3 linked regions of the Sus scrofa genome follow. The protein of the gene in region 2 interacts with the protein of the main gene of each other region in a biochemical or structural test. Links are inferred from orthologs where the notes say so. Each region holds a gene or a part of one and is shown on either strand. Other genes may lie near its edges.

Region 1 (3,652 bases), on a different chromosome or scaffold from region 2:
TAATATAAGAAGCCTGGGGCATAATCATCTATTCTTAGAGCAATTTATGATCTATTTCATAAAAGTTTCACAATTTTTAAGTCAGCTAATACTAGAGGAGTAATATAAAAATGGACTCAACTTAAAATCAGATAAAAATCACACTTGTAAAAAGAATTTCCTTGATTTTGTCACAAGTTATTCCTGAAATTGATATTTCTGATAAACAAGACCAAGAAAAAACAAAAAACAAAACCAAGAATTCTACAAGTATTTCTATTGGTCCACAATCCAAATTTCCTGACTTGTTCTATTTCCTGAGCCTCTGCTAAATCACATTGCTTTTCAGGGCAACAAAAACAAGATCAGTTACACAGACAAATTCTAGATGAAACTTCATTATGCCTTCCTTGAAAAGAGTTTGCTACTCTGTGTCACAGTGCTCTAGAAACAAGCAATAAAGCCTAATGTGGACAACAGGGAGCTTCATAGAGAGAGGATCATTGTTACTCCAGTGCAGTATAATACCTAGATTGTGAGTGCTCCGCAGGCAGAGACTTTTTTCTTTAACTTTCTTCTTTATAATTTCTTTCTATGGTAAGTGCCTAGCAGATACTAAGTATTTAATAAGTGCTTGCTGAATGACTAAAAGAAGGATGAATGTAAAGACAGAAGACATGATTATATAAAAGATAAGCTCTAAAGAATTTAGTATTTATTTATAAAGAAAATAACACACAGGAAAATGTTCCTTTCACTCTTACCCCAGACATCAGATTTAATTGAGAAGGTATTGTAGGCAAGACTCTCTGGTGCTGTCCATTTAATAGGAAATTTGGCTCCAGCATGAGCAGTATAGGTGTCTCCAGTCATCAATCTACTTAAGCCAAAGTCAGCCACTTTTACCACATGGTTTTCTCCCACGAGGCAGTTACGAGCTGCAAGATCTCTGTGGGAAAGAGAACTCTAAAATGTGATTCCATACAGGTGGTTGTAGAAAAAGATCATGAATGCTCTATTATCAGTTCCCTTACAGTTTGATAAGTGCTGACAGATATGGTAGTATTTTATGAAAATTACTAAGATGGTAGAAAGCCACTAATTATACATCACTTGTAGAATCCCCATCAAGAGGGAGTTATGTGATGCCAGAATAAAGCAGGCTTCAGAAAAGGGGTTCCTATTCACAAATACTTGGGATAGGCTTCAGAAGTGAGCAACAGATGCTCTTCTACACAGCTGTAAGTTCATTACTAGGACAGAAAGCTATTTTTAAAATTAAGCCACTAGATGGGGCAAAAGGATCTTGGATATAGTCCTGGGCAAAGTAAAGAGCTTTCTCTTCTGAGAATAACAAAGGCCTCGCATTAATACTTTAATCAGAGAACAGGAGGGTTTATAAATTGGCAATGTCATTACAATGGTGCCTGTAAAAGAGAAAATTCCTGAGTCATCTGAAAATTTTTGCTAAAATTCTCACATTCTTTCTTTTATTTGCATGTCAATCAAGAGAGCTTCATGGTTAATCATAAGCAATAACCAGGTTTTACACACCTATGGATGAAATTCTTCTTTTCTAAATACTCCATTGCAGAAGAAATCTGAGTGGCCATGTAAAGCAGTACAACTGCAGTTACCTCTTCTCGGTTGCATTCTCGGAGATAATCAAGCAGGTTCCCATAAGGCATGTACTCAGTCACAATGTAAAATGGTGGCTCCAAAGTACATACACCTGATAGTTCAAATACAGCTTGTTTTATTAGTATATATTCACACACTGCAAACCACTTTGGCAAGAAAAACTGACAATTTTTTAATGGCTACATCCATGGCATATAGAAGTTCCTGGACCAGGGACTGAATCTGCACCACAGCTGCAGCAACTCTAGATCCTTTAACCCACTGCGCAATGCCAGGAGCAGACTCTCACCTCCTCGGTGACCTGAGCTGCTGCAATCAGATTCCTAACCCACTGTGCCACAGCAGGAACTTCAAGAATAATTGACAATTTTTAAAGTCTAGTTCAGCAGTAATCTTTTCCCGTCTTGCCATCATATTCCCTAAAAATGATATAAGCTAGTTGATAAGGGACTCTGTTCTCATTCTATCATTCTCTGGAAATTCATATCCATTTTGAGTAAGTGCCTATTTGGCAAAAGCAGAGTTGCTTGTTCTAATTCCACACGGGGTCAGGACTACCAACACATCTAGAGTTCTGTACATGCCTACATAATCCCCATCCTCAACTGCATGCTGCCCATGTTTACCTAAAAGTAACAGCAACTGTGCATGTGGTAAAGCCTGTATGTGAGCCCGGTCTGTAATAATACTTTGTAAAAAGATTCTGACTATTTCCACAATCAAGGATTCCACTAACACATGGCAGATAACTTATCAAGAACCAAAAGAATCTATTTCCTTTGGGATGGTTTGGCTCAATTTGAACATCCAAAGAAACTGACCCTATTTTTTAAAAAGCAATGGTTTTAGTCAACGGTTTTTCTGTGACCCAAACACGTAAGATAGCAGTCTATTGATGGCACTTTCTGCTTGTAAAGGCAAACTGATGGATGGTCACAATTTTTAATCTGTTTATTTTCAGCAGTCCTTTGCTTAGTATCTCTTTATTTTGTAAAACTATTTTGTGACCGTTTTTGGTTTAGTATCACTTGGAATGATTTTGAACTTTGGATCCAGGGCAATTACCACAGGCTGTGCAGTTTCATATATACTGCAATCAATCCAGGTTACTGCTTCTTGGGTAATTTTTAAATACAGAGACTGCTGATTAAAGTCATTTAAAGAAGTAGATTTGTACTGGGAGCTTCCACCCACAGTGATTCAAAAGAAGGATTTGGAGTTAATAGGGGGTTGGGGGACAAGCATCTTTGAGGAAAGTTATGGTTCAGGAAAGCTCCCTTACCTAATAGTTGTACCAGATTAGGATGCTTGATTTCTTTCATCACTGCAGCTTCTTTTAGGAATTCCTCCACCTCCATAGTATCCTCCTAGAAAGGTGGAAAGATAAGAAAGAAAAAGAGGGCAGGGACAAGCCCCCATCTTAATCATTTGAGTCAACTCACAATCCTAAAATTTCAGAAAAGGGAATATCTTTTGACTATTTCAGCATTTACTTCAGGAAGTTTTATCACAACATAATATCCTCCAAGAAAAATGTCTACTTAAATTTATTCATTATTTTAAACTATACAAAATTTTGTGGGGTGGAGTAAAATTCATCAATCATGTCCTATCACAACTGAAAGGTACAGAACAGTCAGCTGTCTTCCTAACAAATTCCTTAAGGAGCAAGGCATGTTTGCAAGACTATGAATATTGTTTCACACACTCAGAAAAAGCACTCAATAAATACTTGCTAAAAAAACAAAAACAGACTACTATTGATAGGTGAAGAGCAGTCCTTACAAGTGACATGACAAAGCTATTGAGGCATATGAAAGAATCTTGAGAGAATGGAGTGAGTGACAAAATGTATAATTTGATACCAGGATGCTTAAAGGAGAGAAAGGGTAGCATCAGGAAAAAGATATCTGTGAACATTAAGAACAAGAAGTGGTCGGAGTTCCCGTGGTGGCTCAGCGGTTAATGAACCTGACTAGGTACCTATAAGGACGCGGCTCGTGATCCCTGGCCTCGCTCAATGGGTTAAGGA
Region 2 (3,652 bases):
TCCAGACGTCACTCTGGTGTGTGTATTTCCCAAAGTGGATACTCTCTAGGGCCATCCACTTAATTGGAGTCTGAGGGATTAAAGATAAAGGTGTCATCAGCTGATTTCCACACATGTTCTTAGATCCTTAACTACTAGGCCACCAGGGAACTCCTACACCCCTACCTCCTTACCAGCCTTTGCATCACTTTTTTTTTTTAAACTCTTGAGTATGTTTAAAACCACACACTTTTAACTTTTTATTACTTTTTTTTTGGGGGGGGTTAGGGCTGCACCTAGAACATATGGAAGTTCCCAGGCTAGGTAGGAGTCGAATCAGAGCAGCAGCTGCCAGCCTATACCACAGCCACAGCAACATAGGATGCGAGCCATGTCTGCCAACTACAACACAACTCACCACAACACTACACACTTAACTCACTAAGCAAAGGCCAGGGATCAAACCCACATCCTCATGGATACTATATTGGGTTCTTAACCTACTGAGCCACAACGGGAACTCTGCCTTTGCATCACTTACCTTGGCCTCACTGTGCAGTAGCTGCTTATCATCAGGGGGCAGCAAGTCAGCAACCCCAAAATCTGCCACCTGAACCTGACTGGGGGACTTCAGTAGCACATTTCGGGCAGCCAGGTTCCTGTGCACCATGCCATGCTCCTCAAGGTAGTACATTCCCTATAGGGAGAGGAAGTATATTCAGGGTTGAGGGAATTGGTCCTTGAGATCCAGAATCACCCCAAACCCTACGGCACCTCTCAGCACTTCAACCTCCTGGTCCCCTCCCTGCAGGCCCCCAGTTAGGCAGTTTCATCACAGAACTCCTCAAGGCTCCTCTCACTCACCTTGGCAATTTGTACTCCCCAGTTGAGCAGCAGCTGTGGCCCCAGTACCCCCCGGTGTTGTCTCACATGATCCAGCAGGGAGCCCAGAGGCAAGTACTGCGTGACAAGCTGCAGAGATGACCCTGGGCACAGTCCCAGCAGCCGTACAATGTGGGCGTGGTCGAGGCTGCCAATGGCCAGCATATGCTAAGAGACACAGAAGGTTATCCTGGAAACAAGCAGGTTCACACATACCCAGGCCAGGGCTCCCCCAGCATTCAAGGACGCCACCATGGCTAACACAGTATCTGCTAACACAAGACCATGCTTCTAATACCCTGTCGTAGTGGCACACAGAACACCCTGCCTTCACTTACATCCGTCACAGCTTGAAAACTCTGCCGTCCGCTCTTGTCCTCAATGACTTTAATGCAGACGGGAATCTTGATGGATTCACCCTCAGGAATCCACACTCCCTGGGAAGTTTTGGGCAGGAGTCAGCCTGAGGTCATCCTCCCCTCCCTCAGTCTTTCTCCCCTTTGCCCTAGATCCCTTCCCCACCTCCCCAGACTTCCTGTGAGCCACTCACTTTGTGCACAGTTCCGAAGACCCCTGAGCCCAGCATTTTAAGCTTCCTCAGCTCTGTTTCTTTGAAGACTCTGGCCAAGACTTTGTTAGCCTTCTCACTGGGATCCAGAGGCTCTATGCTCTGAAGAGCAGATGGGACACAGCCTTGTAAATCAACTATACTTCAATAAAACTTTAAATTTTTAAAAAAATTTTTAAAAAAGCAGATTTAAAAAAAAAAAAGAGCAGATGGGAAAGAGGGACTCAGGAAAACCCGCTCCCCTGTCCCTCTCCAGCCCCTCCTCATAGGTGGATGCCAAGAGCAGCAAAGCCCAGGGGGGTGGGAGCAGGAGGAAGAATGTCTCCAGCCTTGGAAAGCATTGCAGACCCTGAGGGCTGAGGAAGTTGTTTGTGTTCATGAGATCAGAAACCTAGAGGGTTTTGCTTTCCCTTTGATGGGCTTTGTAGGGGAGAGAGTTGGTAATACCGTCACCTTAAGCACTTTTATACAATTCCGATTTTCAAAGCACTTTCACCCCTACGGCCATCCTTAAGGATGAATTTTTTTTTTTTTTTTTTTTGCTTTTATTTTAGGACTGCACCTGCGGAGCATGGAAGTTCCCAGGCTAGGGGTCAAATTGGAGCTACAGCTGTCGCCCACACCACAGTGACAGTGACGCCTGATCTGAGCCATATCTGTGACCTACACCACAGCTCAAGGCAACACTGGATACTCAACCCACTGAGTGAGGCCAGGGATCGAACCTGCTTCCACATGGATACTGGTCGGGTTCCTTACCACTAAGCCATAACGGTAACTCCAGGATGAATGTTCTAGTTTCCTCTGTATCAATTGAGGCTCAGAGAAGGAAGGTAACTTTTTCAGTCAGGTGGTGAATTAATGGCAAAATCAGGACTAGAACTCATGTCTCCCATTTCTCTGGCCAGAGTCCTTTCTTTTCCTTTTTTTTTTTTTTTTTTTTGCCTTTTCTAGGGCCACACCCGTGGCATATGAAGGTTCCCAGGCTAGGGGTCCAATCAGAGCTGTAGCCACTGGCCTACACCAGAGCCACAGCAATGCGGGATCCGAGCTGCGTCTGCGACCTGCAGCAAAGCTCACGGCAACACCAGATCCTTAACCCACTGAGCAACGCCAGGGATGGAACCCGAAACCTCATGGTTCCTAGTCGGATTCCTTAACCACTGAGCCACGACGGGAACTCCCAGAATCCTTTCTAGTGGACCATACTACCTCCTTGAAGGGATCAAATCTCTAGGGAAGAAAGAGGCTCTTAAAAGGGTGATGGCATAGGATACATTTCAAGAGTCAGCTAGGCACTTACCTCACCCCGTTCCAAGTAGCGCCTCATAGCCCTCTTATTCTGAATTCGGCGCCCACGCCAATACAGAAAAGTGCTGCCCAGGATCAGGAAAACCACTGCCAGTCCTACTACCATTGTTAAAGCCATTGCCAGGTGGGTTTTGCTGTGGGACAGAGAAGCCCAGCATTACCCTGGTCCAAACTTCCCTTACAAACGTCATCTGTACCAGTACTAAAGGTATGGCACAGATCTGAGGCAAAAAGTTAACACTTGTTTTTTGGTGTTTTTTCTTTTTTTTTTTAAGGGCTGCACATGCGGCATATGGGAGTTCCCAGGCTAGGGGTTAAATCAGAGCTACAGCTGCCAGCCTATGCCATAGCCACAGCAACATCAGATCTGAGCCGCGTCTGTGACCTACACCACAGTTCACGGCAAGGACAGATCCTTAACCCACTGAACGAGGCCAGGGATCGAACCCAAATCCTCATGGATACTAGTCAGATTTGTTACCACTGAGCCATGACGTGAACTCCAAAGTTAACACTTACATCCTTGAGCACTGAAGGGGTTAACCTAAATCTCCACCCCCACCCCACCCCACCCCCTGGACTACTGCAGGTTAATTTTAGGAAGGGAAGGCCAGAAGCCTGGATTCTTATGTCCCTGAGTCCAGTGACAGTAGCTGTATATAGAAGGCCAGAATGAACAGAGACTCAACTCTCCCCAGGAGGTAACCGCCCTCCCTCAAATATTCCCAGCTCCCTAATCTCCAAACCCATCATACCTCATCAGTGGCAGTGCTTGGCCTAAACAGTCTTGTAGCTCTGGTCCCTTACACCTGGAGAAGAAAGTCACCTCCCTAAGTGGGAGCTTGGGAGCCTCCCATGGGAGACTCACTTCTAACAGCCTCAACATACAACATTTCTTCGGACCCTACCATG
Region 3 (3,010 bases), on a different chromosome or scaffold from region 2:
GGGGGAGGGGCCGGCGTGGGGGACTGGGCCCGATGTGGGCGTACCGGGCTGGGAAGGGCTGTCATAAGGGCAGGGCTGGCTGGGGAAGGGGCCTGCGTGAGGGCGGGGCCGGCTGCTGGAGGTGGACTGGCGTGGGGGCGGGGCTGGCGTGGGGGGCTGGGGGAGAGTCCTGAGTGGGGGCGGGGCTGACTGGGGTGGCACCTGTGGGGGCGGGGCAGACGTGGGCGCTGGGACCCGGCTGGGGGGGGGGCGGCGTGGGGGGAGGGGCGGGGGGCGGCGGGGGGAGGGGCGGGGGCGGCGGGGGGGAGGGCCGGTGGTGGGGAAGGCCGGCACGTGTTAAAAACCTCTCCAGGTGATGTTGACATGCCGCAGAACAGTCTGCACCTGCTTCAAGCCGACCAGGAGGGTAGGGTAGCCAAGGCCAGCAGTGCATGCAGCTCTTCGGCCCCACCCCACCTGCATGAAGATGCGCCCAGGGCGGAGATGGAAAACCAGCCCTCCGGCTCACACAGGGAAAGTTGCTTTCAGGCACTTCTCATGGACCCCTTCCCCAGCCCCTTTTCTGGTCCCAACCTCACCCCAGAAAAGATAAGGGATCCCAAACAAGAGAGAAGTTGAGTTTATTCCAATGACTGAGGTCTTGCCCCCTGAGGACCCCCAAAGTCTGCCCTTCAGGGCCCATAGGAAAAAGGGTCCTTGTTGTGAGCAACATCCCTTCAGCCCAGGCCCACCCTCCCTGCTGTCCTCCTTCCCCCAGCCAGAGAGGACAAGTGACCGGGTGGGGACTCCTAGACCAGTGTGGGCCTCAGGCCTGTCCCCCTTACCACAGTCCAGCTGGTGGGGGGAGAGAAACTGAGCTGAGCCCGGCCGGACTGAGGTCCCAGGAAGGAGCTGTGGGCACAGGAGGAGAAACTGGGGGATACAGGCCTCAGGCTGGAGCTCAGGCACAGGCGGCCTCCTTCCCCTCAGCTGCAGCGTCCTCGGCCTTAGTCGCCAAGCTGTAGTAGTAGGTGCGCATGCGCTGTTCCACGATTTGGAAGTCTGGACGCTCCTCCCACCTGTGAGGGGTGGGAAGATCCAGGCCACTGACCACAACCCCAGAACCCAATGTCAGTTAGTGGGCGGACGTACATGGAGCTCAGAAAGCAGTGGGGCTGGGGGCGGGGGTAACGGAGGGCTCTCTTGGGTGAGAGAGTAAGGTTGCTGTACCACCTTATAAAAGAGCTGATAACATTTAGGATTGGAGGAGGGAAGCACATATTAAGTGATGACTGGGAAGGGAGCTCATTGAATTTTGAGGTGACAGCCATTGACCACGGGGGGCTGGGATATTGATGCTAAAGTACTGAACATGTATATTTGGCCAGGGTATTTGGGTGCTAGGTGCCACCTCATACAGATGCAGGTACGCTGCCGGTAACAGAGCAGAACGCTGGAGTATTGATGGTTCCAGCCAGTGGAAAGTTGGGGTATTAATGGTACTGTGTGTAGCTTATCTTTGCGTTGTGTCAGAGTGTTCTAGCCTCTTCAGGCATTAGGGTGTTGGGGTTTTTATTTTTTCTTTTTCTACCCACACCTGATGCATATGGAAGTCCCCAGGTCAGGGACTCAATCTGAGCCACAGCTGTGGCAGCACCTGCTCCTTAACCCATGGCACCACAGCAGGAATTTCTGGGGATGTTTATTGAGCATTTCCTGATAGAGGCTGGATTAATACATGGTAGAGGAGGGATTGGCTGATCACTTATTCATTTATCATAAATAGGGTTTCTATTGCTTGGGTGTTCAGGTGTCCCTATGATGGGTGTTGGCCCCTAATAGATGTTGGGGCAGCAAAGGTATCAAATATTGGAGTGCCCACATTGCCTGATCAGTATAGGGTAAGAGCTTCGGTGCATGTTCCCTGTTGTCTGACGGAAGTGGAGATACTGATGGTGTTAGGAGTTTGGGTGTGCAACCACTGAGCTTTGAACAGACAGAAGTGAGGGGCATTGAGTATTTGGGTGCTTCTGTGTCGGCCTGTCTGGGTAGTGAGGTGTTGAATGTCGGCTGATAGGAAACAGGAATTATATAATGGCCCTGAGTTTCAGTATCACATTTTGGGTAAGAGCACTAACTTTTTTGAGTACTATAGGATCACTATGTTGAATGTTAGAGGTTTCAGATGCTGGATCACTGGGTGTCCACAGGTGGGTGTTGGGTGCTGGGCCACTGGAGCATGGCAGATCAGTGCATTGAAAGCTGAGCATAGACACAGGGGGACAAAAGGTCCTGAGTGTTGGAAAGGCCAGGAACTTGGTGATTCACTGGATGGGATGAGACACTGGTGGGATGACTACTGGGCATCATGACCTCCTGCCCCGGGCCCAGGTCCCCTCCCACCTCTGGGACTCACTTGTAGGTCCAGCAGTCGCTCATGAGTGTGTACATTTCAGGTGGACACTCTGGTGGGCACTCCATCCGCTTGCCCTGCTCAATGAAGGCCATGACCTCGGGGCCCTTCATCTTCTGCTCAAGCCAGAGCAAGGGCATGAGTGAGTAACCAGGGTCCCCCACCCCCGCCCCTCCTTTCCACCCAGCTATCGCCCGCCTCTGCCCATGCCTGCCTTGTAGGGCTTCTGGCCATAAGAGAAGGCCTCCCACATGGTGACCCCATAGCTCCAGACATCACTGCGGCTGGAGAACTTGCGGAAGTTGATGCACTCAGGCGCGTACCACTTGAGCGGCCACTTCCCTGCTGAGCGGGCCTGAGGGATGGGAGATGCTGCTGGGACAAGGCTCAGGGGTCCACCACCCACCCCCCACCTTCCTGGGCACTCCTGGGTCCGGGGCTCACAGTGTAGTAGCTGTCATCGGCACCCAGTGCCTTGGAGAGACCAAAGTCGCTGATCTTGGCATAGTGCCGGTTGACCAGCAGGACGTTGCGGGCCGCCAGGTCACGGTGCACAAAGTTCTTCTCCTCCAGGTACTTCATCCCCATGGACACCTGGTGCAGCAGCTCCGCCACGTT

The links.
Region 1: the proteins of ERBB3 (region 2) and ABL2 form a complex in vitro, tested with the Homo sapiens proteins (2 studies listed by BioGRID and IntAct, with this or other methods). The link is inferred for Sus scrofa from reciprocal best matches to the Homo sapiens genes ERBB3 and ABL2.
Region 3: the proteins of ERBB3 (region 2) and tyrosine-protein kinase ZAP-70 form a complex in vitro, tested with the Homo sapiens proteins (2 studies listed by BioGRID and IntAct, with this or other methods). The link is inferred for Sus scrofa from reciprocal best matches to the Homo sapiens genes ERBB3 and ZAP70.

Annotation. Positions count from the first base shown.
Region 1 is NC_010451.4:120,904,669-120,908,320, forward strand, and holds part of ABL2 (Abelson tyrosine-protein kinase 2), read right to left. Parts: intron 2,988-3,652; coding exon 2,903-2,987; intron 1,712-2,902; coding exon 1,534-1,711; intron 929-1,533; coding exon 744-928; intron 1-743. UniProt on the Homo sapiens protein: Non-receptor tyrosine-protein kinase that plays an ABL1-overlapping role in key processes linked to cell growth and survival such as cytoskeleton remodeling in response to extracellular stimuli, cell motility and adhesion and receptor endocytosis.
Region 2 is NC_010447.5:21,487,605-21,491,256, reverse strand, and holds part of ERBB3 (receptor tyrosine-protein kinase erbB-3), read right to left. Parts: intron 3,550-3,652; coding exon 3,496-3,549; intron 2,875-3,495; coding exon 2,733-2,874; intron 1,532-2,732; coding exon 1,412-1,531; intron 1,299-1,411; coding exon 1,200-1,298; intron 1,030-1,199; coding exon 844-1,029; intron 677-843; coding exon 521-676; intron 71-520; coding exon 1-70. UniProt on the Homo sapiens protein: Tyrosine-protein kinase that plays an essential role as cell surface receptor for neuregulins.
Region 3 is NC_010445.4:56,514,846-56,517,855, forward strand, and holds the end of tyrosine-protein kinase ZAP-70, read right to left. Parts: coding exon 2,837-3,010; intron 2,748-2,836; coding exon 2,607-2,747; intron 2,509-2,606; coding exon 2,396-2,508; intron 1,059-2,395; coding exon 941-1,058; 3' UTR 604-940; downstream 1-603. UniProt on the Homo sapiens protein: Tyrosine kinase that plays an essential role in regulation of the adaptive immune response. Regulates motility, adhesion and cytokine expression of mature T-cells, as well as thymocyte development.